2 linked regions of the Bombyx mori genome follow. The protein of the gene in region 1 purifies or fractionates together with the protein of each later gene. This does not show direct contact. Links are inferred from orthologs where the notes say so. Each region holds a gene or a part of one and is shown in the gene's direction. Other genes may lie near its edges. The genes, in order: inhibitor of Bruton tyrosine kinase and ribonuclease P protein subunit p25-like protein.

What was found.
Region 2: the proteins of inhibitor of Bruton tyrosine kinase (region 1) and ribonuclease P protein subunit p25-like protein purify together in Homo sapiens (co-immunoprecipitation; 3 studies listed by BioGRID and IntAct, with this or other methods). This does not show direct contact. The link is inferred for Bombyx mori from reciprocal best matches to the Homo sapiens genes IBTK and RPP25L.

What each region holds. Positions count from the first base shown.
Region 1 is NC_085125.1:10,539,029-10,551,572, forward strand, and holds the start of inhibitor of Bruton tyrosine kinase, read left to right. Parts: upstream 1-4,949; 5' UTR 4,950-5,099; intron 5,100-11,889; exon of another isoform or gene 11,890-12,139; intron 12,140-12,544. Other genes in the region: NADH dehydrogenase [ubiquinone] iron-sulfur protein 4, mitochondrial, read right to left, coding at 2,930-3,286, 3,903-4,062, 4,166-4,320. UniProt on the Homo sapiens protein: Acts as an inhibitor of BTK tyrosine kinase activity, thereby playing a role in B-cell development. Down-regulates BTK kinase activity, leading to interference with BTK-mediated calcium mobilization and NF-kappa-B-driven transcription.
Region 2 is NC_085116.1:9,659,556-9,672,004, forward strand, and holds ribonuclease P protein subunit p25-like protein, read left to right. Parts: upstream 1-5,474; 5' UTR 5,475-5,513; coding exon 5,514-5,609; exon of another isoform or gene 5,610-6,225; coding exon 6,226-6,410; exon of another isoform or gene 6,411-6,427; intron 6,428-6,484; coding exon 6,485-6,604; intron 6,605-7,190; exon of another isoform or gene 7,191-7,307; coding exon 7,308-7,428; 3' UTR 7,429-7,604; downstream 7,605-12,449. Other genes in the region: preimplantation protein, read right to left, coding at 7,849-8,083, 8,170-8,379, 8,803-8,966, 9,152-9,205. UniProt on the Homo sapiens protein: May be a component of ribonuclease P or MRP.

The sequences.
Region 1 (12,544 bases):
TAGATAATAGTAGTTCCGGTATCAGCATGCCTAGAACAAATTTTAAAAATAGATTTCCTAATTCTTAAATTTTAAAATTCATATTAACACTATTTCTATTTAGCAAGGACCAAAATATTGTCTATTAGTACCTCTTCAATTTTATCTCGAAAATTCTCTAGACCAAAAAATACTTTACCGTTATTTTTCATGTAGTTTTTCGAAGCCTGTTTCGATTTTTAGTACTTAAGAAAATGAAATGTTTTGTATTTTACCACTAGGCTTTACATTTACACAATTGCTAAACAAATTATCCATTCACTAAGATACTTAATAATTAAAAAAAAAGAAAGCGTAAAATGTTCTAAGAATACGTAGAATTCTCGTTATTGTTCGTTACTTTGTAAATATTAAAGAGTATGAAATAATTTTGCATCTATTTATACTTACATCAGTTTTAAGGAGGTCAATAATTACTTTTTAAATAAATTTATAATTTATTATGTACAATGTACATGTAAAATTGTTCGAAGCATGTGTCTGTAATGATTCGATTTGTGTAATATAATAATAATATGTTCAATTGTATGATATGTAAATAAAAAGTTTTGAGTGATACTGGCGAAATATGATTTCCTTCTAAGGTACAAAGTAAGAATTAACCATGTTGAAATTATGATTAAATAAAATTATAGTACTTTCTGAAGTTTCATTATTCTAAATCTGCTTAAAAAAAACAATCCATTTATTCTTCTTCTATTTTTGAACGTTACCAGTCCTATAAAATAGATGTTAATAACTATGATGATGAAAGGCGATTGCATGCAGCAGAGATGCGAATGTTGCGATGGATGTGTGGAGTAACGAGAATGGATAGAATACGGAATGAATATGTTAGAGGAAGTCTGAAAGTGGCACCTGTGACAGAGAAGCTGAGAAGTGCGCGTTTGGGATGGTATGGACATGTGATGAGATGAGATTGGTCAGAAAATGTTAACTATGAAGGTGGAAGGATATAGAGGAAGAGGTAGACCTAAGAAGAAATAGATGTATTGCGTGTAAGACGATATGGGTAAGAGGGGAGTGAGCGAAGAAATGGTATATGATAGAAGAGTATGGAAGGAGAAAACACGTTGCGCCGATCCCAGGTAACTGGGAGAAGGGCAAGATAATGATGATGATGAACTATGGTTATCAGTGTCAAGTTTAAAATTTTTTTTAGTTCATTGTGTGATCTTTTATTTTTAGAAATTATATGAAGAAAACGAAATGAAGTTGATTAATTTGAGATATTAATCAATTTAGAATAAAAAAAATTGTTTTATAGTTTAAAAAACTTAATTAGTTTAAAACAATAAAACACTAGCACTAGTAAAAGCTGTGCTTGGCAGAATCTACCACCGGATCTTCGAAGTCATCATGACCTAAAGGACAAGACGTCCGATGCATTCGTATCTAGCGATGCACCGGTGTTCGAATCCCGCTGGCAAGTACCAATTTTTGTAATGAAATACGTACTCAACAAATGTTCACGATGGACTTCCACGGTGAAGGAATAACATCGTGTAATAAAAATCAAACACGCAAGATTATAATTTGCGTAATTACTGGTGGTTGGACCTCTTGTGAGTCCGCGCGGGTAGGTACCACCGCCCTGCCTATTTCTGCCGTGAAGCAATAATGCGTTTCGGTTTGAAGGTTGGGGCAGCCGTTGTAACTATACTTGAGACCTTAGAACTCATATCTCAAGGTGGGTGGCACATTTACATTGTAGATGTCTATTGGCTCCAGTAACCACATAACACCAGGTGGGCTGTGAGCTCGTCCACCCATCTAAGCAATAAAAAATAATAAAAAATATGGTAGGACCTCTTGTGAGTCCGCACGGGTGGGTACCACCACCCTGCCTATTTCTGCCATGAAGCAGTAATGCATTACGTTTAAGAGGGTGGGGCAGCCATTGATACTATACTGAGACCTTAGAACTCATATCTCAAGGTGGGTGGCGGCATTTACGTTGTGGATGTCTATGGGCTCCGGTAACCACTTAACACCAGGTGGGCTGTGAGCTCGTCCACAAACCTAAGCATTAGAAACAAATAAATAAAAGATTGGAAACGTGACCCACTGAGAAGATGCGGTGATAAACTCAGTGGGATGTCTGTGGGTTAATTTGCTGGCCGAATCCTTCGCATCGCAAGGGACAGGTTCGACGAGAACGTTGACTGGTGCTTGAGGTACCTAATAGCACCGATAGTGGATCGGGCGGATACGAAATGACGTTTAGGAGGACGGCCATTGTTTGCCATTGGGTCTGTAGGGTCGGGTGTGTAGTTACCGGCGGCCAGGACAAGAGAGTTTTCGTACCGCGACGCTTTCTCGGAATGGTGCGCTGATAATATCGACTGTATATACTTACTAATAGAGTCCAACTCCAGGTTATCGTGAAGGTTCACGTTCCTCACAAACCACGGTGCTTGGACAGCTTTTTATTTTTTTTATTTCCCTTGTAGGCAGACGAGCATACGGCCCACCTGATGGTCAGTTGTTACCGTTGCCCATGGACTTCAGCAATGCCAGGGGCAAAGCCAAGCCGCTGCCTACCAATCTATCCTATAGAACCAGAATTGAATAGTTTCAAGAGGTTTTAAATTAGTGCAGACCGCATGAGCGAACACTATACTTGCATAGGTCATAACTGGACGAATGCAAGTTTTGTGGAGAACCATAATATTATTAAGGGCCATTTTACTTCACTTGAAAATCATCAGATAGATAAAAATGTAAGATTTAAATCTGAAACAAAAATAATCAAAGCACTTTTACAAATTGCTGTATTTCATTACTATACAAATTATTTTAATTAACATAAGTAGTATCACTGAAATCAAAGTCTACTTTTTCATAACATTATTTAATATAATAAAATTAACATTTTTGAACTACCGTTTTACTTAGTGGAGACTCGAGTACGACGATTCCAAGCGAAATTTAACCCATAGCTTTTAGGTTTGAAATCCTTCTCGGTTTTAGGAACATCAATGTACCACATCCATCCATTTTTCTCACAATGCTCAATTGCTTCATCAGGAGATCTGAACTGAATTTTGACATTGGACAGAGGATCTCCTGAGGATGTCCAGCCCATCAGAGGATTTTCCCAACGTTGACGAGTGTCAAATTCCATTTCCCAATGATGGATATTATTTGTACCACTCTGCATTGCATTCTTCGCAGGTTGATAAATACGTACACGGCGAGTCTTAATATGTTCTTCTGGGACTCCTAAAATGGGGCTGAGATCTGCCTAGAATTGTAAAATATATTTAGTTTGATATAATTATACAAAGGCAAACTTGTGACCAAATCCAAATTGACACTGCTGTTTTGCTTAAATTTTTTTTTTTTTTTTATTGCCTTTGTAGGCAGACGAACATACGGCCCACCTGATGGTGAGTGGTTACCGTCGCCCATGGACTTCAGCAATGCCAAGGGCAGAGCCAAGCCGCTGCCTACCGCAAATTTTTGCCAAAATAGTGTAAATTCTAGACTAATTAATCATTATCTTCAAACGTTAGGCGAGTAAATTTTATTTTATATTATTTAAAGGCATTCACTTTCTCTGTATTCGTTTCTATGAAATATAACCATAGGAATATATTCAGATTTTATCATTGACTTAATGTTTGATGAGTTTGCTTTATCTAAATTTTATTTATTAAATTTCGCTAGCTGATATTTTGGTCTCTTTGACCTATACACTGCATATTCCATGAAACATTCTTTTTAGACATTTTTTAAAGAATGTAAAACATTATAGAGAGCAGTTTCATCATCATTTTTGTTAATAAATGTTCAAGACATTTTATTTTTAAAATAGCATCTACCAGCATAGAGCTCATCGAGAAAGACTTGTAAATTACCTTCGTTGGCACTACAATAGTGGAATCCAGTGCTTTTTGATGCCGAGCTTCTTCTGGCAAGGCCAAAACGGATTCGTTTTCAATTTTAGGTGCTTCCTTTCGGCATGTTGGATCTGCATCAGCATAGCGAACATTGTACGTTGAAAACGCACCTTTAAACCTGAAAAGAAATGGATTTCTTCCTATGTAATTTTGACAAAAATAATTTGGTATGGGTTTGGGTGCTTGTTCAATCTTAGATGGGATAAGAGCATGTAGCTCACCTTGATAAATGGTTCTTCGATAAACCTGCTGTCTGGCAGATAGCTTTGAACATTGCGACTTTTACGTAACAATCAGTCCAAAATATTATTTCTCTTTTGTTCCAACAAATTTTATCCAAATTGACATGACAATTGACTTTTTTGACATTTCTCATTTTATTTTACTCTGCGTTTCTTCTCCAACAAATATACGACTTGGACTTTTCGGCGGGAACGCGAGCAGTGAAGTCGTGTGGTTTGTTTTATTTTGTCTATTTAGTGTTTCTTCAGGTTTAAATGTGTTGTTGTTGTTGTTGTTGTTGTCCTAGGGTACCCCGCTGGTACATAGGGCCCTCACAAGTTGTCTCCACTTTACTCTGTCTTGCGCTTGCTCCTTGACATCTTAAATGTGTAATAACGGTTAAATGTTAGTTAACTGTTTAGTATCTTTGAAAGTGAACAAATGTGGGAAAATCAAACAAAGCCGCTGAACGTAACTCGTTGGGATCTTCCAAAAAGTTCACTGAAAAAGTCTCAGTAAATGACCAGCATTATACTGCGATTATATTTCATACCTTATCATCACATCTCATTTCATTTCACTTCACTTCATACCATGTTTCATATTAATCAACTTCATTTCATTTCACTTCACATTATAATTTTTCATAAAAATTTAGAATATTAAAATAATACTTGACCTAAAGGTTTTAGCTACCAGGTCATAAAATCCCTTTAAAAAAATCTATTATCTATGCTTCCAACCGACTGCCTAGAGCACTGACAGCTTTTTTGGACAGTAACATTCAAAATGACGACTTTGACGCCAACTGCTGCACCCGGAATTCGGTGAATCAACAGTCCGAAAAAACCGAGATCCAGATCCAAAAAACTAATTTTCTCTACATCTAACATGAAGTTGAAGTGTGTGCGAGAGAGAAGGTCCATTCATTAGGTACAGTTTTAAATGTGTTAGAAAGAATAAAACATAATAGTAGAATATCTGTTATGAGTCCAAACTCTCCGGACTATTCACACCCGGAATTCGGCGACTCAACAGTTGACGCATATCTTGTTGAACCCGGAATTCGGCGATTGCACTGTCCAAAGGCGAAACTTAGGAAACGAAACGTCAACCAAAAATTCGTGCCACTGTGACGTCATCTGACCACAAAACATGGCGGTTTTAGTGCTGACAAAAATTTCAATGTTATCAGGTTTTATCGATAAACGTTCTTGGCTCATTTTATTTTAAATATTGTTGAGTATTATTTATTTGTAGAATTTATACTTTAATGGGAAGTAAGTAGGTATATTGTTATGTGCAAATATGATATGATTTAGATGGGTGAAATCTAAGACAAGTTCGTCCTTCGAATTTGCCAAGTAAACGTTATTATGATTTTTAAAAGTTGCTACACTGATTTTATAAAGTTGTCATTTCTCGCAAAACATAAAGATATGGCGTAGTACAGTGCCATTTGCCCATTTCTAGCATGCTAAATGTTCTCGTATTTTGAGTACGTGTTATTCTTAGACTATTACAATCTATTTTAATTGTTTTGCTGACTCTAAAGTCCGTAACACACTACCGCAGCGCACCCCAAGGAAAGTGCGCCGCACCATTTGAATCACTTTCACTTGAGAGTGATTCAAATTTTAAACTTATCAAGGGACCGCGTGAAAAAAAAAACACCTACGTCTACCTACACCTACCTATTTATTCATTATTAAAAACGTCATTCCTTGTGACTTCCTCTCTAAAATCACTTAATTATTAAATATTTAACGAATTTATAATAGTGTTTTACTCACTGCGGAGTAAAACTATTTTATTTAAATAGTTCCGAAGAGATTTTGTCGGTAGCCTTTTTCCCGAAATATCTAAACAGAATGTCTAAATATGTTTTGATGATATATTTTAAAGAGGTATTTATGATTAGTGTCATGATCAATAGATTCCGACCGAAAAATGGTGTCCGATTTTTCGGATGAGGGCTCCATAATGGATTTAAATATATATAGATCGACTCATCCGCAGAATATAGTCCTATCTGTAGGATTGATAGTTTTCAGTAGAGGTTAAAGAAGTTGTTGACTTGTGTAACTTTTAAACGGTGCGACTTGTTGTTTAAATTTTTTGGTATGTTGTTACTACGTCTCAGCTTTGTTAAATACTGTGTAGTTTATAACTGTTATTCTTTTATTTCTGGAGATAGTGAGTTCTATATTAACATAAGACGTTTTATGGCAAAACAGCGAGGGTCCTTAGTGAACGTTACACGTTGTTTTATGGACACATGTAAATTAAATGACGTTCTATATTAACATGAGTCGGTTTTCTTTGGAATTACTAACTACTAATGAGTCCTACGTAAATAACAACCTTGAAATATTTAAACATAACGTTCCTCATATCATCACTGCCCTCCTATATAACTAAATAAAAAAGATAGTAATTATTTAAAATCGTTTATTAAGTGAAAAAATCTCAAAACTGGTATAAAGAATCATCATAAACAGCAATCATAACACTAAAAATTACAAAAAACTTACAGGTTCATGTGTCAATTAGAACATTGCAGGACGCAGACGCGGACGAAGATAATAAAACTTATTTTTTTTATAATAACAAGATTAAAATCAGCAGTCTCAAAGTTTTTTTTTATTGCTTAGATGGGTGGACGAGCTCACAGCCCACCTGGTGTTAAGTGATTACTGGAGCCCATAGACATCTACAACGTAAATGCGCCACCCACCTTGAGATATAAGTTCTAAGATCTCAGTATAGTTACAACGGCTGCCCCACCCTTCAAACCGAAACGCATTACTGCTTCACGACAGAAATAGGCGGGGTGGTGGTACCTACCCGTGCGGACTCACAAGAGGTCCTACCACCAGTAAACTATCTACTCACTAATCGTAGAACTAATCTACTAATCACTAATCTATAATAATCAGCCTTCATAATTAATCAATCAGTCTTACATAGTAACCTAGACTTATAACTGGTGCACATACTTAATAGCAATGAAATGGCATGTAGACAAACATTAAATATTATAATTAACATTGCTTCGCTAAATTAGTAGGAAGAATTCAGCTCTAAAAAGAGGAAGCAGACACTAGATAAAATTATTCCGATAGATTATCATCCGATTCTTCAGAAAGAGTAACAGTTATGTGATGTGGCAAAGAGTTAAAGTATGGAGTTCCTCTAAGGGAATAAGTTCTGAGCGGCACATATCCATTAAATCTTTATATTTCGCAGCAGGAATCATAATAGGTCCAGAAAATGCAGCTTTTAGTTCAGCTTGTACCGAGTTCCTCGTATTACTACGAATTACTAAAATATCATAATCAGGTTGAGTTAGATCATATTTAAAAAACAAATTTGTTGGGATGTTATTCCAGTTAATCTTCTTGCACTGAATGTCTTTGATCCAAACCTTATTATTAACAAGACTTTTAAAGTCGAATACGTCATCCTGGGTTACGTTTCGAACAACATAGGGTTCTCCTTCATTCTTGGCCCATCTTACTAATAAACGCCATTAATGAGGGGTATATATAGTTTTGGTTTGAAAAGCTCTCTTGATGACAGAGTGGATACTGTCCCCCTCATTTTGGGTATGCCCTTTCTGTAAAAACCGGTGTGTATATGTTGAACTTTTTTGCGGCATAAATGTATAATGAATATACAAAGCGATTACAATTTTGGCCAGCACAATTGTCTGACCAAAAGCGGAACTCCTTGGTCCCTTGTTCAACATTAGTCTGTATAAAGTTTAAGAGGCAACTGCTTACCTCGTTTGCTCCACGTTTTTCCACAGATTCATCCCACAAATAGCAAATGGCCTTCTTTTTACCTATATCAAAAACCGTAAAGTTAAAAGAAGATAGCTTTCTGTTATAGTAAAATATATTTATATTGGTTAGAGGACACTGTAAAACTTTTCAAAATCAAACAGCAGTAACCATGTTTCCGTTTGACTCCTCAGCATCTTTTTTATCTAGGCTTTTTAAATGCCTTGCCTTCTTATTTGTCTGGTGTTATTGAAGAGCTTCTTTCTCTTGGTCAGTTGGATTTTTATTCAATCGAAAAACGTGACATTCCTCGCACTAATCCTTTTTGGGGTTTGAAAACCTAGGGGTATGAAAACCTAGATTGAAGTTTGAGTTGACAATGTCACGATACTGGCGTTCTTTTATGGCTTTAGTGCTGTATTTTTCAGGGTCATGATACATGATTAGGGCAGAATACGGTGTTGCAGATCGAATGGATATTAGTAGGAGATTGCATGAGTGCTGGTACTGACAGTTCCAAATTGAGCGGAGTACATCTGTGGTGATCTTCTAAATCTTCAAGCTGTATATGTGGTAAATTTTCGTAACTTAAAGGCACTTTCAAAGAAAATATACTAGGTTGGTTGCTGTAATCATCCAAGGCAGATACATCAGGCACGAGATTAGGTACTGAGCTGTCGCAGGTAATTTCCTTGGTCCCACTATCTTCATGTAGCATTTTTCCAATACATCAGCTAGTTCCTGACTGATTTCTACTGGTCCAGGAGGCAAAGGTGACGTTTGTATGTCTTACAGGTATCATCATCATTTACAAATGAAAATTTAAAAAAACTCATATTTTTATGACAATTTATAAAATACTATTTATATTTATGTGTTTTGCAAAACAATTTAATTATACAGAAATAATTTAACAAAATTTAAATAAAAAATCGTTATATTTTACAACTTTTTTGCACGATTAACGTCCTAACTGATTTCATTATCCCAGTAACAACGTCTCATCTTACTAACGAACCAACAAATCGCGTCACAGAGTTCGTAAAAAAATGTCCCATATTCACATAGAACGCTTAGAGGTTCAATAGTGTTCGTAAAATATCGTCCTAATATTTCATAACGCTTTTATTTTTAACAGTTAATTATTATAGAAAGATTGATTACTCCTGTGAATATGCATTACGCCAATTGTGTTTTTGCATTAAAAATGCGTTTCATTACCTATTCGTCAAAAAACGTCTTATAAAAACATCGATCGACTACAAGCACTTATTGAAACAAAAAAGCAATATAGATAATATTTTTTTATATAGAACTTAATAGCGTGTGAAATTATGAAATAATACAACTGAAAAGTTGGCAAATTAATATTATTTACATTTTTCTCCATATGAACAGCGGCTACATTAGAAAATGATGAACTAAGGTCAGGGTCTTCTGTATCAGCCTTAAGCATATTCAACATTTTCCGTGATCGCGACATGTCTAAAAATATCTTTTATCGAGCAAAATACGTGTTACATTATTAATTTAAAATCAAACAGTAAAAACCTAAGCGCTTGACACAAAGACGCCCTCTCTCCAACAAGTCCAACGAACAGCGGCCGGACTGATAGACAAATAAATAGAGTGCATGGACATATAGATATATAAGGACATTGATAACGTGCACATAGATTTTACTAAGAATAGAACGTAAGTTACTTTGAAATAAATAGTATACACTTTTGCTTTGTTATTCCCGATAGTTTTAAGATTAGCATATTAACTTAAATGAACACGCGCCCGGCCCGCGTCCCGAAACGATGTAACAAACAGCATTTATCTGTGTTCAGGACCGGGTATTTTGTTTATACGGGCGCGTCATATAGATTAAGCATAGAATCAGTGCGGCCGCTCCGTGCGGGCCGGCGCTTGATCACTCCGTACGTTTTTATGCGGAGCTAACGACAGATAGAACGTTATTCAATTATATATTTCCGAAACTAAATGAGATACAAAAATTCCAAAAACACACGTCCGTAGAGTTCGTATCCCTTATTTCGCCTAGCTATATAACTCGTTTTTGCTCTATGATCACATCGGACTTTGTTCTGCGGATGAGTCGAGATAATAGTTTTTGCATCGACTTTCTTGAGATCCTATAAAATACGTTTGAATTATTATTTTTGTATGTTCTAAGCATGATAAATTATGAAATTTTATATAAGCAATCATATTAAATCGATATCAAAGTCAATAATTAATGTACAACCCAAAACAGACTGCCGAACTGACAATGACATTTGGTGCGCTCAACATGGCGGATTTTCGGCCTTATTAGACGGAGACGGAGATAATTACGTATATTCATGTTTCATTTTATGTACGCACTGAAATACTGTTATATTGTTTTCCTGCGAGTTAAAGTGCTGAATAAGAACGAGATAGATATATGTTTATGTGTGCGCCTTCAAAAGGGGTGCTATTTATATAAGCAATTGTACGTATAGAACAATATGTCGTGTCCCTACTATATAGGTCTATGCCTAGAGCAAGACTGAGCAAATACAAGACATATGCTAATCATGTTCTGAAAAGGATTGAACATGACATAGTTCTTCTGAGTGTCGGAACTAGTTCCAGAAAACATAAACTAAACAGTTCCGCGAACACATTAAGTCTAGAACCTATGTGTAGTGTAGTTTTGTAAAGTAGCCTACATGCAACCGAATTACGTAATGTAGCTAAAAAAACTAGCGATAGTGGTGAATGTTTTAAAATTCTCTAATTTTGAATTAAGATTTTCTAATAAATGGTTAAGTGCTCGTAAGAATGGTGCATGGTCAAGGTCAAAATTCATAGCAAAACATTTTTATTTATTCAACTATCGACTGTAACACGTAGGTCGTAGAGCATAACTTCATTATTCATAAAAATGTAATATGAAAGAGCTCCACACGCAGTTGCATGCACTCTTCAAACGAAGCTTGTGGAGAGTATTAAGCGGTAGGCAGCGGCTTGGCTCTGCCCCTGGCATTGCTGAAGTCCATGGGTGACGGTAACCACTCACCATCAGGTGGGCCGTACGCTCATCTGCCTACAGAGGCAATAAAAAAAAAAAAACTTGCTCCATCACACTCCCTCATATTCGCACCATAAATAATTCGCATTATCTCGTTACGTAGACTCGTGTCGGCTTGGTACTCTTTCGGGTGGACTCGCCGCGCCACGCCGCGCAGTACTATAAGCTCTAATCATGTCCGCATGTCCGTCATGTTCAACGCGTTCGTAGTTCCTTCTTAACTAATTTTCGTTCCTGCATAATAGTTCACTTGGAATGGAACTGTCTGCACATGTTAATTTTGACAACTCGGATTGAATGATATAGTTCCAGGAACTACTTCGGTCCAGAACTACCCATGTATATACACATGTGGTCTAGCAATGTGAACCGATTACAAATTCTGGCTCCGGTTTATTACCGATTTGTTTCTCAGAAAACCGATTTTTAAGGCATTTTTAAGTTTTTTCCAATAAGGCTAAATAATCATTAAATAAAACAAATTTACGTGCAAACGAAGAGTTTTCTTCATAAAATTAATAACCTTATTATTATATTTTATATAGGCTTAATGATCATATTGTCCAATAATAAAAAGCTTTTTATTTTTGATTTAATACTATTGTATTTTTTCAAAATAGCTTTTTCTTATATTTTACATGGTAATTGCACTGTAGTTTTTAAATGTAATGCACGGGAATTTGAGTGAACACGGTGTTTTTTATCTAGCAGCACGGTAGTTTGCTTATTTGATCTGGTAGCACTGGTGGGAACTGTGAATGTAAAGCGTAATTAAAAACCGATATTCTTAAATAAAAACCGGTGTTTATCGGTATCTACAAAAACCGGTTTTTCTCCGGTTTTCTTCGAACCGGCTACATCCCTAATGTGGACCATAGATTATGCTCTTAATATTTGTCTGAAGCACTTGTCTTCTTCATAGATTACACACTTAATATATTGTAGTTCATTTATTTATTGTAAAATAATTAAATACTTTTAAACATTGCAATTACAACTATATTATTAAGATAATACCGTGATCATTTACGAAAAGTCATTTCACTGTTGTGTTTTACGTGAAAAATGGAATATTACTTTCAGTCTCATTTCGCTCTTAATCAAACAGCTGTTTTCTTGTAAATGTAAGTGCTATTATATCAACATATTATAAAAAAAATAAACAAAAATAATTGTAATACAACCAGATTGTAAACTAGGCCCAACAATATTATTAAGCACATAATAAATGCTTAAATATTGCGCAAATTTATGCATTTGCAAAAAAACCGATGTCACCTATGCTATGACCTTCACTAGGTACTTTTCGAATGAAATTTGATATATGTAATTATTATCAGTTTTCTTTTTATTACTCAATAGCGATTAGCTTATCGGAGTTCATTAACCCTGACATATTCGACACACTCGCAAATATCTTGCACATTCGTAAACTTTTGTAAATAAATCTAGGCTTGGACAGTTACACAGCTGAAACATGCAAAAATATATAAGTTAATATCACAGAGGTCTTTGTCGGCCTTAAGAAA
Region 2 (12,449 bases), on another chromosome or scaffold:
CACCAATCTTTGCAATAAAAAAAACTACATTACATTAAATATTCATACTTTAAAACCTCATCGATTTACCTTAGAAGGATTAGCGGCATCAGTATCACAAACACAATGACCGCAAACACAGGTTCCCCGTCCAGAGCATTTCAATCCCTTCGTGACCTCTGGAGAGAAGCAATTATCTTCATTTTCTTTGCTCTGACATGAACATTGTGCGTTCTCTACGATACTAACTGAAAAAACAACATCATTAGTTATTAAATGAACTTCAGGCTCGACAGAAGAGGCCCGTTCCCGGAATCTGTAAACGCACAACATAAATACCGCAGCTCACCTAGACAAATTGGTGCCATAGCGTGCCCTTACATCTGATAAATAAGCAAGATCCTCTAGTCTGAAAACGATTCATTTTGAAACGATTACAGAATAAAACTTTTAATCAATACCTACCTGCTTACCCGAGCAGTCTACCGAATATTCTTTGAGCCCGTATTAAAATTAATAATTATTTTAGTAGTCGTGGCCTAAATTGTACGACTCCCAGCATAAGTGACACGACGCGGCGACGGTGCCGGTGTTCAAATTTCGTGACAGGTACCAAGATATGTACTTACTTTAGACGTTTTCACGTCATCCATCGAAATAACATAGTGCAATTTAACAAACCCATGAAATATATAAATTGGCTTAATTACTCATAGTATGACGAACTCTAAGCCCCATAAACTCACACGGGTAGGTAGGTACTAATTACAGTCTATTTCTGTTGCGAGGCGTTCACAGGAAGAGTGGGACGGCTTTTATTTAATACAATACAATTAAGACATCAACTTCACGACTCGAAATAGGTGGCGATTTTGACATCGTAATGTCTATGGGTTCTAATAGCCACTTAGCATCATGTGATCCGTGAGTTCGTACACCCATATATGCAATAAAAAATCTTTAAATACATAAATAAATGGACGACGTTTTAGATTTTTCCTGTGCCTGTATGAATGAACATTGAAAAAAATCAATTTGTATTAGTCCTATTTTTAAAGTTCTTTGCTTTCATGGGAACTGCCGGATTTTGAGAGAGTAGAATATGCTCATGTGTCCTTTTCGGCTTCTTCCTGGTTACGTTCACGAAGTAAGACATTCTTCACTCATCTTAACCATTTTTCTTTCTTAATATACCTACCTACCTAATATATTTCTATAGGTATTCGAAAATAACACGGCGTAAAAAAAACCCATTTATATTATTTTGGTATAGTAGAGCAATTAGGTAGGTAATAAATTTTCCTGCACACAATACCTACATTGATACTGCTTAAGTAAATTAATCCTATTACAGGAATTCGTGATAAAATCTATTTAAGAACTTTTTCATGATAAACTGGAAATTTCAGTGCTATGATGTTTTTTTTCTATTACTTGAAAAAAAGGTGTTTTTTTTTCACTAATAAAAATAATAATATTCCGCCTATTTCTGCCGTGAAGCAGTAATACGTTTCGGTTTGAAGGGTGGGGCAGCCGTTGTGACTATACTGAGACCTTAGAACTATATCTCAAGGTGTGTGGCGCATTTACGTTGTTGATGTCTATTAGCTCCAGTAACCACTTAACACCAGGTGGGCTGTGAGCTCGTCCACACATCTAAGCAATATAAAAAAAAAAAAAAAAAACTGGAGTAAGGCGAAAGAGGTCTTTAACTAAACTTACCTAAGAGCTTGTACTTACGTCCAAAATCAGTAAATTCGATAGTATCGTTTACGCAGAGGCCTTTGTTACCCCACAACTCGTTTGAGAAACATTTGTTTTCTTTTACACACCACGAGCATTGGGATAATTTCAAACAATCAAAACATGAGACCTTAACAGCACATACCCAGCGCTCATCCATAACGAACGGTCTTTTCGCTGCCATAATAGTCCATGGTAAAACAGATAAAAATAAAAACGCTACTTTAACTCGAGAACACTGCATAGTGCTTTTAGATAGAAACTTAATTAACTGGAAAACGGGAAAATACTTCGAACGGTATTATTGTACGATAGCCCTGACATAAATAACGCAATTGCTCTGTACTTACAACTCCTTCGATAACCTTTAATCTTTTAATCATGCAAATAAATAGTGTTTGTGGTTTACGCACACTTATTAGTAAAACAATATGTTTCCTAATATTAATAATATATTAGATAATTATTAGAACATTAAGTACATTTTCTAAATTTTAAGCACATTTTGGGCATGGTAATAATCTTTTATAAATATTTTAAAGGATCCCCTAAGATCCAGACTAACAATATTTTTTATGAACATTAGTGCGTCGGCGTTACTTTGATAACTTACTTACTTATTTGTATTAAAAGGGGAAATTCAAATCTAATAATTATTTTCTTACCATATATCCATATCTTACAGCCATATATATATATATCTTCACAGTTTCTAGGTCAGTAAATGGAGTTGAAAAAATTTGGTTTTTAGCTCTTAAAGACCTAATTATGGATAAGGCGCCCGGTGTTCTCGTATAAAAAAATATTTACAGAAAGGTATCCATTTTTCTAGACATACTACATACCTAACACATGTTCACGATCGACTTTCGCGATGAGGGAATGACATTGTGTCAAACCTTCAATATTAATGGGCGAACGAAATCAAAGTTCACCTGGCGTTGAAGTGCTACCTGAGTCCGTAGGCCGTCATCACAAGGAGAATGCTGCCAACCATCTTGAGACTTGAGATCGAAGTCAGAATTGTAAATATAATATTAACTGTCGAACTAGCGTTTCATCACAATTACTTTGGTTAGGTTAGGGTAAAATTGAGGTTCCCAGGCCTTATTCTTGATGGTCGTTGTACCTTTTGTACTCACTTCATACACCTAATCCCTCGACTATCTTGTCCGACCGTCCTGCCTATTTCTTGGGAGAACGATCGAAACGAAACGATCATAGGTTCGGGCTTGAATGGTAGGATGGCCATCATACACTTGAAACTTCGACCTTAATAAAAAAATATACAAAGTTGCTTCCCGTGTTCTTTCAAAATCCATTAAGTCTCTCAGAAAATTTCTATCATCACTGAGAGGTTATTTCTGATCATCTTCTCCAATAGTTAAGATGTTGTATTAAGTCACCTAAATTCTTCTTCTTTTCAGTATGGCAATTGACGTCTTGAAATGCTATTTCTGCCACTATCGAGATTATAAAAAATCTTCAATTAAGGAATATACACGTTATATGAAAATGGCCCAGAATGAAATGGTTTTTTTTTTATATAGCTTAGATGAGTGGATGAGCTCACGGCCCACCTGGTATTAAATAGTTACCGGAGCTCATAGACATCTACAACGTAAATGCCGCCACCTACCTTGAGACATAAGTTCTAAAGTCTCAGTTGGTCATCAACAGTACAATGACTTTGTCACCTTTCAAACCGAAACGCATTACTGGTTCATGGCAGAAATAGGCAGGGTGATGGTACCTACCTGTGCAGACTCACAAGACGTCCTACCACCAATAATTATGTAAATTATAATTTTACGGGTCTGATTTTTTTTACACGATGTTATTTCCTTCCATGTGGAAATCAATCGTGAACATTTGATATGTACGTATTTCATTAGAAAAATTGGAAACTGCCTGCGGTATTCGAATCGATGCATCGCTTGATACGCATGGACTGGGCGTCTTATTCTTTAAGCCACGACGACGACGTATCGTATTTTATTTGAGATACTAATCTATTGAGATGAAATCGGAGGAAACGAGATTAAATGACATGTCATAACGTCCCAGTAAAATAGTGGAGATTTACTGAGACTTCAGTCATCCTTTTGAAGGAACCAGAAGAACCACGAAGAACCAACGAATTCGTCTTGGCCTATTGAAGTCGTCGTGGCCTAATGGATAAGACGTCCGGTGCATTCGTGCTGAGCGATGCACCGGTGTTCGAATCTCAGGCGGGTACCAATATTTCTAATGAAATACGTACTCAACAAATGTTCACGATTGACTTTCACGGTGAAGGAATAACATCGTGTAATAAAAATGAAACCCGCAAAATTATAATTTGCGTAATTATTGGTGATAGGACCTCTTCTGAGTCCGCGCGGGTGGGTACCACCACCCTGCCTATTTCTGCCGTGAAGTAGTAATGCGTTTCGGTTTGAAGGGTAGGGCAGCCGTTGTAACCATACTGAGACCACAGAACTTATATCTCGAGGTGGGTGGCGCATTTAGGTAGTGTGTACACTGTATGCGCGCGAGTTAATGTCCATCGAGGCCAGAGGAGACGCGCGGTGGCAGCCCGCCCCACCTTCACCCGTCTCCCCGCATTTGTCTGACGTCGAGTGTTGTCCGTCACGGTTGTAACGCACGATAACGATATCGAAAATTTACGCTAACGCTATTGTGTTATTTAACCATGACTACTCCGCTTCCAATAAGTTCAGATAGAGATAAAGATACATGCTGATTCCGACTCTGATCTGTCGGTTGTCTTTTCATTCGATAGTGATTGAACAGGAATTTAAAAAATATTTTTCTCTATTAGAAATAAACAAGTAATTACTTATCACATTTATTTTATTCCATAAATTGCAAAATTACCTTAAGTTACATTAAACCAAATCGACAGCTGTTGACTAAATCGGTAGTTATTATCTACATTACCATATTTAATTAGGTCACAGCACTACCGTATTTCTCAGGATGGACATGAACTCGCGCGCCTACAGTACGTGCGGACTCACAAGTGGTCCTACCACCAGTAATTACGCAAATTATAATTTTACGGGTTTGATTTTTATTACACGATGTTATTTCTAAAGTCTCAGTTGGTCATCAACAGTACAATGACTTTGTCACCTTTCAAACCGAAACGCATTACTGGTTCATGGCAGAAATAGGCAGGGTGATGGTACCTACCTGTGCAGACTCACAAGACGTCCTACCACCAATAATTATGTAAATTATAATTTTACGGGTCTGATTTTTTTACACGATGTTATTTCCTTCCCCGTGGAAGTCAATCGTGAACATTTGTTAAGTACGTATTTCATTAGAAAAATTGGTACCCGGCTGCGGGATTCGAACACCGTTGCATCGCTAGATACGAATGCATCGGACGTCTTATCCTTTAGACCACGACGACTTTAAACACCTTATCCTACACTTCTGCAGTATTCTGCACGTTCACAGATCGTAAGCGGTTAACAAGCCACCACTATGCTACGCTTAAACTCCAAGAAATATTAAATTAGTAAAAAAAATTGTATCTCGCTTTCTCGCCCAAAAATTCCTCACTTCTTTTAATTTAATTTAATTTCCGTCCATTTCACTTTTCATGCGACAGGCTTCAGCATTTGTTACAAAAGATTTTGCAGTATGAACTTTGTTCCCTTTGCCTGTCTAATGGACGAATTCAAACAAACAAACAATCGTAAATATAACCTCAACACAACGATTTAACCTCAGATATCATACATAATAAATGTATTGTGTATAAATTATCACCACTAATGGAAAATTATACAAAAGGCAAAAATGTTGAACAGGAGTTTGAACGAGATAAAATTCCCATTGAAGGCTTACCTGATAATTTCCTTTGGATGCAGGTACATCGCAAACTCTAATTAAAAAAGAGTCAAACTTGATGGTTAGGGTGTTTAATATTAATTTATTTAAATCAGACATTGTAATGAAAACCTAAAACACAAAACGGTCAGGCAAGCTAAACCACTAGTGAAAAAATGGTTGCTTACATTGAACTCTATGGACACAGAGAACTTAATTAAAAACAAGAAATAGCAGTAGATTTTTTAATTTTGTATCTTTTTGTTTATTTTTTCTTATTAATTTATTTTATAATTGTTTATGTCTACGCTCCCCACATATGAGTAATTATTTGATGTGTTATTTTTAATACTCAAATTTTTTTATTATCTTATATGTTAAATCTTCTAACGCATGTTTTTGAGCGTAATAATTATTAATAATAGTGATGTCGTTTTGAGGTCAATTATATACATCGTAAATCGCATTTTGGTCCTCACGATACACGCTATGCCTAGTGTGAAGATCATTGGTTAATTTTATATTGTTGATGCCATCTGCGTAATCTCTAAGTTTGTTAAATATGTAAATAGTATTCTAGGTCATGATTTAAGAGTTTATGTAGTAAATAAAGAAATTATAATTATATATACATTATTATTTACTTATTTGATACAGGTCAGAGGAGGAAGTAAGATGTCAAACCTCCTAAACCACGTAACCGGCATACTAGAAGATAAAACAGCAACAGCAGTTGTTTGGAGCGGTGTTGGTGCAGCTATCTCCAAAACAATATCTTGTGCAGAAATTATAAAAAGGCAATTTTCTATTCAGCACCAAGTGACCAAACTACTGTACCAAATGTATGATAAATCATTATCTGTTTAAATAAAAAAATCTCATTATTTTCTAATTAAACATCGATTTTTCCCTTTAGAGTAGAAGAACACTGGGAGCCTAAAATTGAAGGCTTAGAAACGTTAGTAGTTAAACGCCAAATACCTGCTATTCATATTCTCTTAACAAGTGAACCTTTGAAAGATTTTAATCAACTTGGGTGAGTTATTTCATTTTCAATTTGTGTCCATAATAACTATTGCCTGTTGCCATAAATATGTGCCTTGCAATGTATATAAGTCTGTGGGCCATTATCTGAAAATTAAGAAGTTCATTTTTGCTTCTCATGTGCCGTATTTTATATTATTTACTAATTACCAATAGAATATCTTTATTCTAATGACAGCTATGCTGTTGGAACAGGCAGGATGATCATTGCAGAGTCATAGTAAGCTAGTTAGATTAAGAGATAGATAGGCTGTCCTATGCAACTTGGTGTTTTTTAAAAGTCTGGCATTGCATATGGGTATTTAGGAGTACATATAATTTCAAGTATATGTGATTAATAGCCTTCTTCAATTTGTATGCCTTTTACATACATTGATTGTCATAACAAGTCTTGTATATACATTTTAACACATTTTTATATTCATTTTATTACCGAAACAATAATAAGTATATCATCTTTGTTGAATTAAGCTTTCCTTTAGATATATGTAACTATTACCATTTGTTAATTTATCTTTAAATATTATTTTATGCAAATAGGCAAAACTAGATGAAAAATCAAATCACAAAAATCTCACCATCTATTATATTAAACCTAATTCATTTCCTGCAATATTTTAGTATTTATTTCTCTATTATTAATCTGACAAAGTATGTAGGTTATGTAAATAATCACAAATTGTATTCTCTTTTAGTTGTCAATCAATAAATGGAAAAAAGTTTTGGGAACAAAATGAGAATCAACCAAATAAAAAACAGCAACTACACTCAAAACGAAAAAAGGTATTCAAGCAGATTCAAAATAGCAAAAATTAAATATTTTTCTGTGAACTATTAATTCCTATGAATTTCTATTACTATCCTGTAATAAAATATTTATTTCTTCAACAATAATAGACACAATGTTTTTTGTGATATTATTTATGTGTATATTTGTAATAAAAGGTGTGAATCCAATAAGTGAAATTGGCAAATAAATGAATGTTTGTGCACATTTTATTTATACTTGATTTACAGATCTATCAATACCATAAACCTATGTAGAATGAACATTGTATTGTGTTAATGCATATAAATAATTTAATTTATATTGGTGTACACAATTTTTCACACTAAATTTAAATATATAATTTAACCTTGGTAGTGGAAGAAACACAAGTATGTAAATAAATAAATTCAATTTAAATGTTGTTTTCCATCAGAGAAATGTTTAAATTGTAATTGTTTAAACAAATTTCAAGCTTCTGATTCACCAGCTGGTACTTCATCATCAAGTTTAGGTAAAATTAGAATTTCTTGAGGTATTATTGGGTATTTTGTTACAAAATATGTGAATCTCTTGCATAAATGAGTTTCTCTTTCAAATGCATCATAAATTGAACGATGATGAAAGTATGCATGTGAGAAGATCCTGTAAACCCTTCTACAAACAGATCCCAACTTGGCAATTGATGAATCCTTGATGTTCACCCTAAAAAAAATTAATTAATGTTTTATTTAACTGTATTAAAGAACATTTGGTTTGTATAATATTATAAGAATATATAAATTTTAAACCTGCTTGGAAAGTATTTATTGCTATTCAACAAGCAAGCTGCTCCATCTAGAGTGTGCCGTGTGTAATCAATGGCTGGACATTCTTTAGGAGTTTTATGTGCTGCACACAGAAATATCCACTGTTCTGTTGCAGTCATTTGTGTACATGTTTCAGGTTTGCATTCATTTTGTAGGCGCACAGCCAATCCATTGAGCTCCATACAAAATTGTCTGTAAAATATGTTATTTATTTATTACACTTCATGTAACATTTACAAAGGTGGACTAAATGCCTAAGGCATACTCGACCAGTCAACCAAAGGTAGTGCAGAGTAAATAGTGGTAGGTAGAATGAAAATTATATTAAATTGCAAATACATACACAAAAATGTATAGTAAATATGTAACATCTAGTAAAATTGATAAAAAAATCTTTACTACACTGTTAGTTAACTTAAAATAACTACAAGTTCAGCCATTGAGAGAAGGTTAACAATATAATTATATTGATCAAATATAATTTAGTCCAAACACTATAAGTAAATCCAAATTACATCTTAACAGTGTAACATGTTCTTTCAGCAGCAAGATGATAGAATATATTCTATTACATTAGAACAAGCTGTAAGTTATAAATAAACACAAGAAAAATACCTTAGATGTTCATACTTCCAAACACCTTCATCCAACACCTCTGGCATCTTCAAAATAGCTTCGAGATTCGAAGGGTCACGTCGAATAGTTTGTTGAATAAATTGTTGAACAGCCAATGTGCTATCCATTTCTTCAAAGGGTTCATCAGGCCAGCGACAGAAGTCCTGATTAGAACAATGATTGTAATTTAGAATATTCTTCGATATTCGCGAGTCTTAATTAAAATAATAAACACAATAGAAACTACTTTTAGGGTTTAATCCTGAAATAATTTTAATTGATATATGATGGTGGCACATAAGTAACGCCACAATACCTGTTTTAATTCAGTTACATTTGCTGTGCATACCTTGGCTTTGGTGCCGGGTCGATTGCGTCGGAGTATTTGAACTCCGTCGGTCATTTCTTTTGGTGGAATGGCGACAAGATACTTTTGTTTGTCTATACTGGTTCGAATGTTAACAAGCCTCTGATAGTTACGACGGCACTTATTTGAATTATGCTTCACCTCTACCACTATTATTTATATTTTAGAATTATAAGAAACTTTAGCTTTAGCCAAAAAAAATCCTTTCATAATATGAGAGAGAGGACAGAGGACTCCGAATCATAGATTATACGCTTAATATTTGAGAACCGAATATTTTTCAGGTGACTGAAGTTAGCCCCTAAAAAAAAATTTTCTGTCCTGTTTTCTACTTATTTTCTATTAATTCGTTTGGTCATCATTTGTTCTTGATTGTTCACTGTTAATAATTGTTTGTCCCACATTTATTTATTTTAAAAAAATTATTAAAAATATATGTACAAGTTAGCCCCTCGATTGCAATTTTTAATATTTTTTCGTCCTTAATGACTCGTAAATATTCATTTTCGATTGTTCTTATATAAAACACGTTTGTTCTCTTTCGAAATTACTCGTTTTTTGTTTAATTTACTATTTGTATTAGTTGAATAAATGTATGCAAAATATGTATACTGCGCATGCGTCAACTATAATGCCTAAACTTTCTACGCGGTTTTAATCGTGAAAAGAAAAACAAATATAAATCCTGAAGGAGCAATTAATTGGTATACAGTTTAATTAAAAAAATAAAAAAATAAATAAATGAAATAATGTACATTGGCGTAAAGTTAGACCAAATATATTTTTCCATCCTCCTACCTATCGATAATATGTTCATTATTTATCTTTCAAGAGATAATGTAGGTATACATTTTAATAACTTTTTTACACAGTCGAAATTATATTCCTAAAAAATATATAGGATTATATGTGTACTGTAGTAGTAGTAGTAGTAGTAGTATGTAACTTCCTAGTCATAATCATCAGCCCATATAATATATTCCCTTGCTGGACACTGGCCTCCACTACCATTGAGAGGGTTTTTAGGCCTTAGTCCACCACGCTGGCCTAGTGCTGGTTGGTGGATTACACACATAAGAAAATCCTAAGCACATTTAGGTGTGCAGGTTTTATCACAATGTTTTCCTTCACTGTTAAAGTAAGTAAGTGATATTACACTGTGATAAATTTTCATTATCACAAACTTCCGAGTACCTTATGTAATAGGAACTGAGGTCCACTTGCCCATTTTAGCTACTTCCACTAACTAACTAACTATTCTCGTTTTTTCTGATATTGTTATTTGATTATGAGATCTGTGAGTGTTACTAATTATTGACAGTTACACCTACCTTGACTACAAGATGGCAAAGGTATAATAATATAACACATCTCATTTTTAGTCGTCTCTTCAATCTCCTTGACAATAATGAGTCTTTGCCGTTTCACAAATGCAGGCCGAGGTTCACTTTGAGTGAATTTTCGTTTTCTATCTGCCCGACAATCGAATTTGGATGGTAAACAGTTTGGTTTCATTCGAATTCATTTGATGGAGCCCATTATCTTGTATTGCATATAATTCTCAATGTGGTTTTCCAGCTAAAACATGAAATAATTTTCCAACACTTTCAATACATAACCTATAAAAAAAAAAATTTTATTTTACTAATGTTAGGAATATAATTTCGACTGTGTAAAAAAGTTATTATAATGTATACCTACATTATCTCTTGAAAGATAAATAATGAACATATTATTTACTTATTTGTTTATATTACCTATGTGAACTCCCTATCTTTTTTATACCTTCATAACGATAGGTAGGAGGATGGAAAAAATGTATTTGGTCTAACTTTACGCCAATGTACATTATTTCATTTATTTATTTTTTAATTTTTTTAATTAAACTTATACCAATTAATTGCTCCTTCAGGATTTATATTTGTTTTTTTTTTCACGATTAAAACCGCGTAGAAAGTTTAGGCATTATAGTTGACGCATGCGCAGTACACATATTTTGCATACATTTATTCAACTAATACAAATAGTAAATTAAACAAAAAACGAGTAATTTCGAAAGAGAACAAACGTGTTTTATATAAGAACAATCGAAAATGAATATTTACGAGTCATTAAGGACGAAAAAATATTAAAAATTGCAATCGAGGGGCTAACTTGTACATATATTTTTAAATATTTTTTTTAAATAAATAAATGCAGAACAAACAATTATTAACAGTGAACAATCAAGAACAAGTGATGAACAAACGAATTAATAGAAAAGAAGTATAAAATAGAAAAAAAAAATTTTTTTGAGGGGCTAACTTCATTCACCTGTATTTTTCATTACTTTGGATTAAAAATAGTGACTCCCAGAAGAAAGTACCGTAAAATGAGGTGACTAGGGATTGAGAGGTGAATGGGGACAAAACCAGGAAATCTTTCGACGCTCAATATTAATTTTTAAACCGTTGCAAAATCTTCCATTTTTTATAGTGTAATAGTAGAATCTTGAAACTTTACAAAACATCTCTGAATATGCATGATAATAGAGGCTAACTTATAAAAAATCGCATTTCAAATTAACTTCTTGTGGTGGTAATTATTTTAGTGCTAGAAACTTTGCTCTCTTTTATTTATTTGATAATAATAGAAGACGACTGTGATTTATAAACGTTTAGTGTTTGGACCATCATATATATTATAGGTAAAACTCAGTTGTTATTGGTTTTAATGTTTTTTGATAATATAAAAATACATGTAAAAATTTGTTGTTTTTGGAAATAATGGGGATGTCTCAGGTACAAATAACAACGAAAAAGGGGTCACTTGGGATGAGAATAAGTTAAATGGGAGCGACCTAAGTATAAATAGGTACAGGTTTGTAGGGTTGTCTACGTAGTTATTACAATCTTTTTTAAATGTGTTGGTAGGAATCTGGTTTATTCATGATGTTTTTGTCTAGAAAATTTATTCAAAATTATCAATGCAGTGTTATTTTATTGTTTGGCAAATATTTATATTATCAGTTACGTATTGTTTTCTATTTATAGATATATCTTCTGCGTGTACGTATCAAAGAGTGCAAAGCCTTATAAGAGATATGATCCCTTGATATTAAAGACAACAAAAGAAGCCTATGAAATTGGGAATAAGTCTTTGGTTGAAATAGCTAAGCAATTTAACTTAACTTATTATTGCCGTATAGGCAGACGAGCTTACGGTCCACCTGATGGAGAATTGTTACCGTCGCTCATGGACGTTAGCAATCCCAGGGGCAGAGCCAAGCCACTGCCTACCG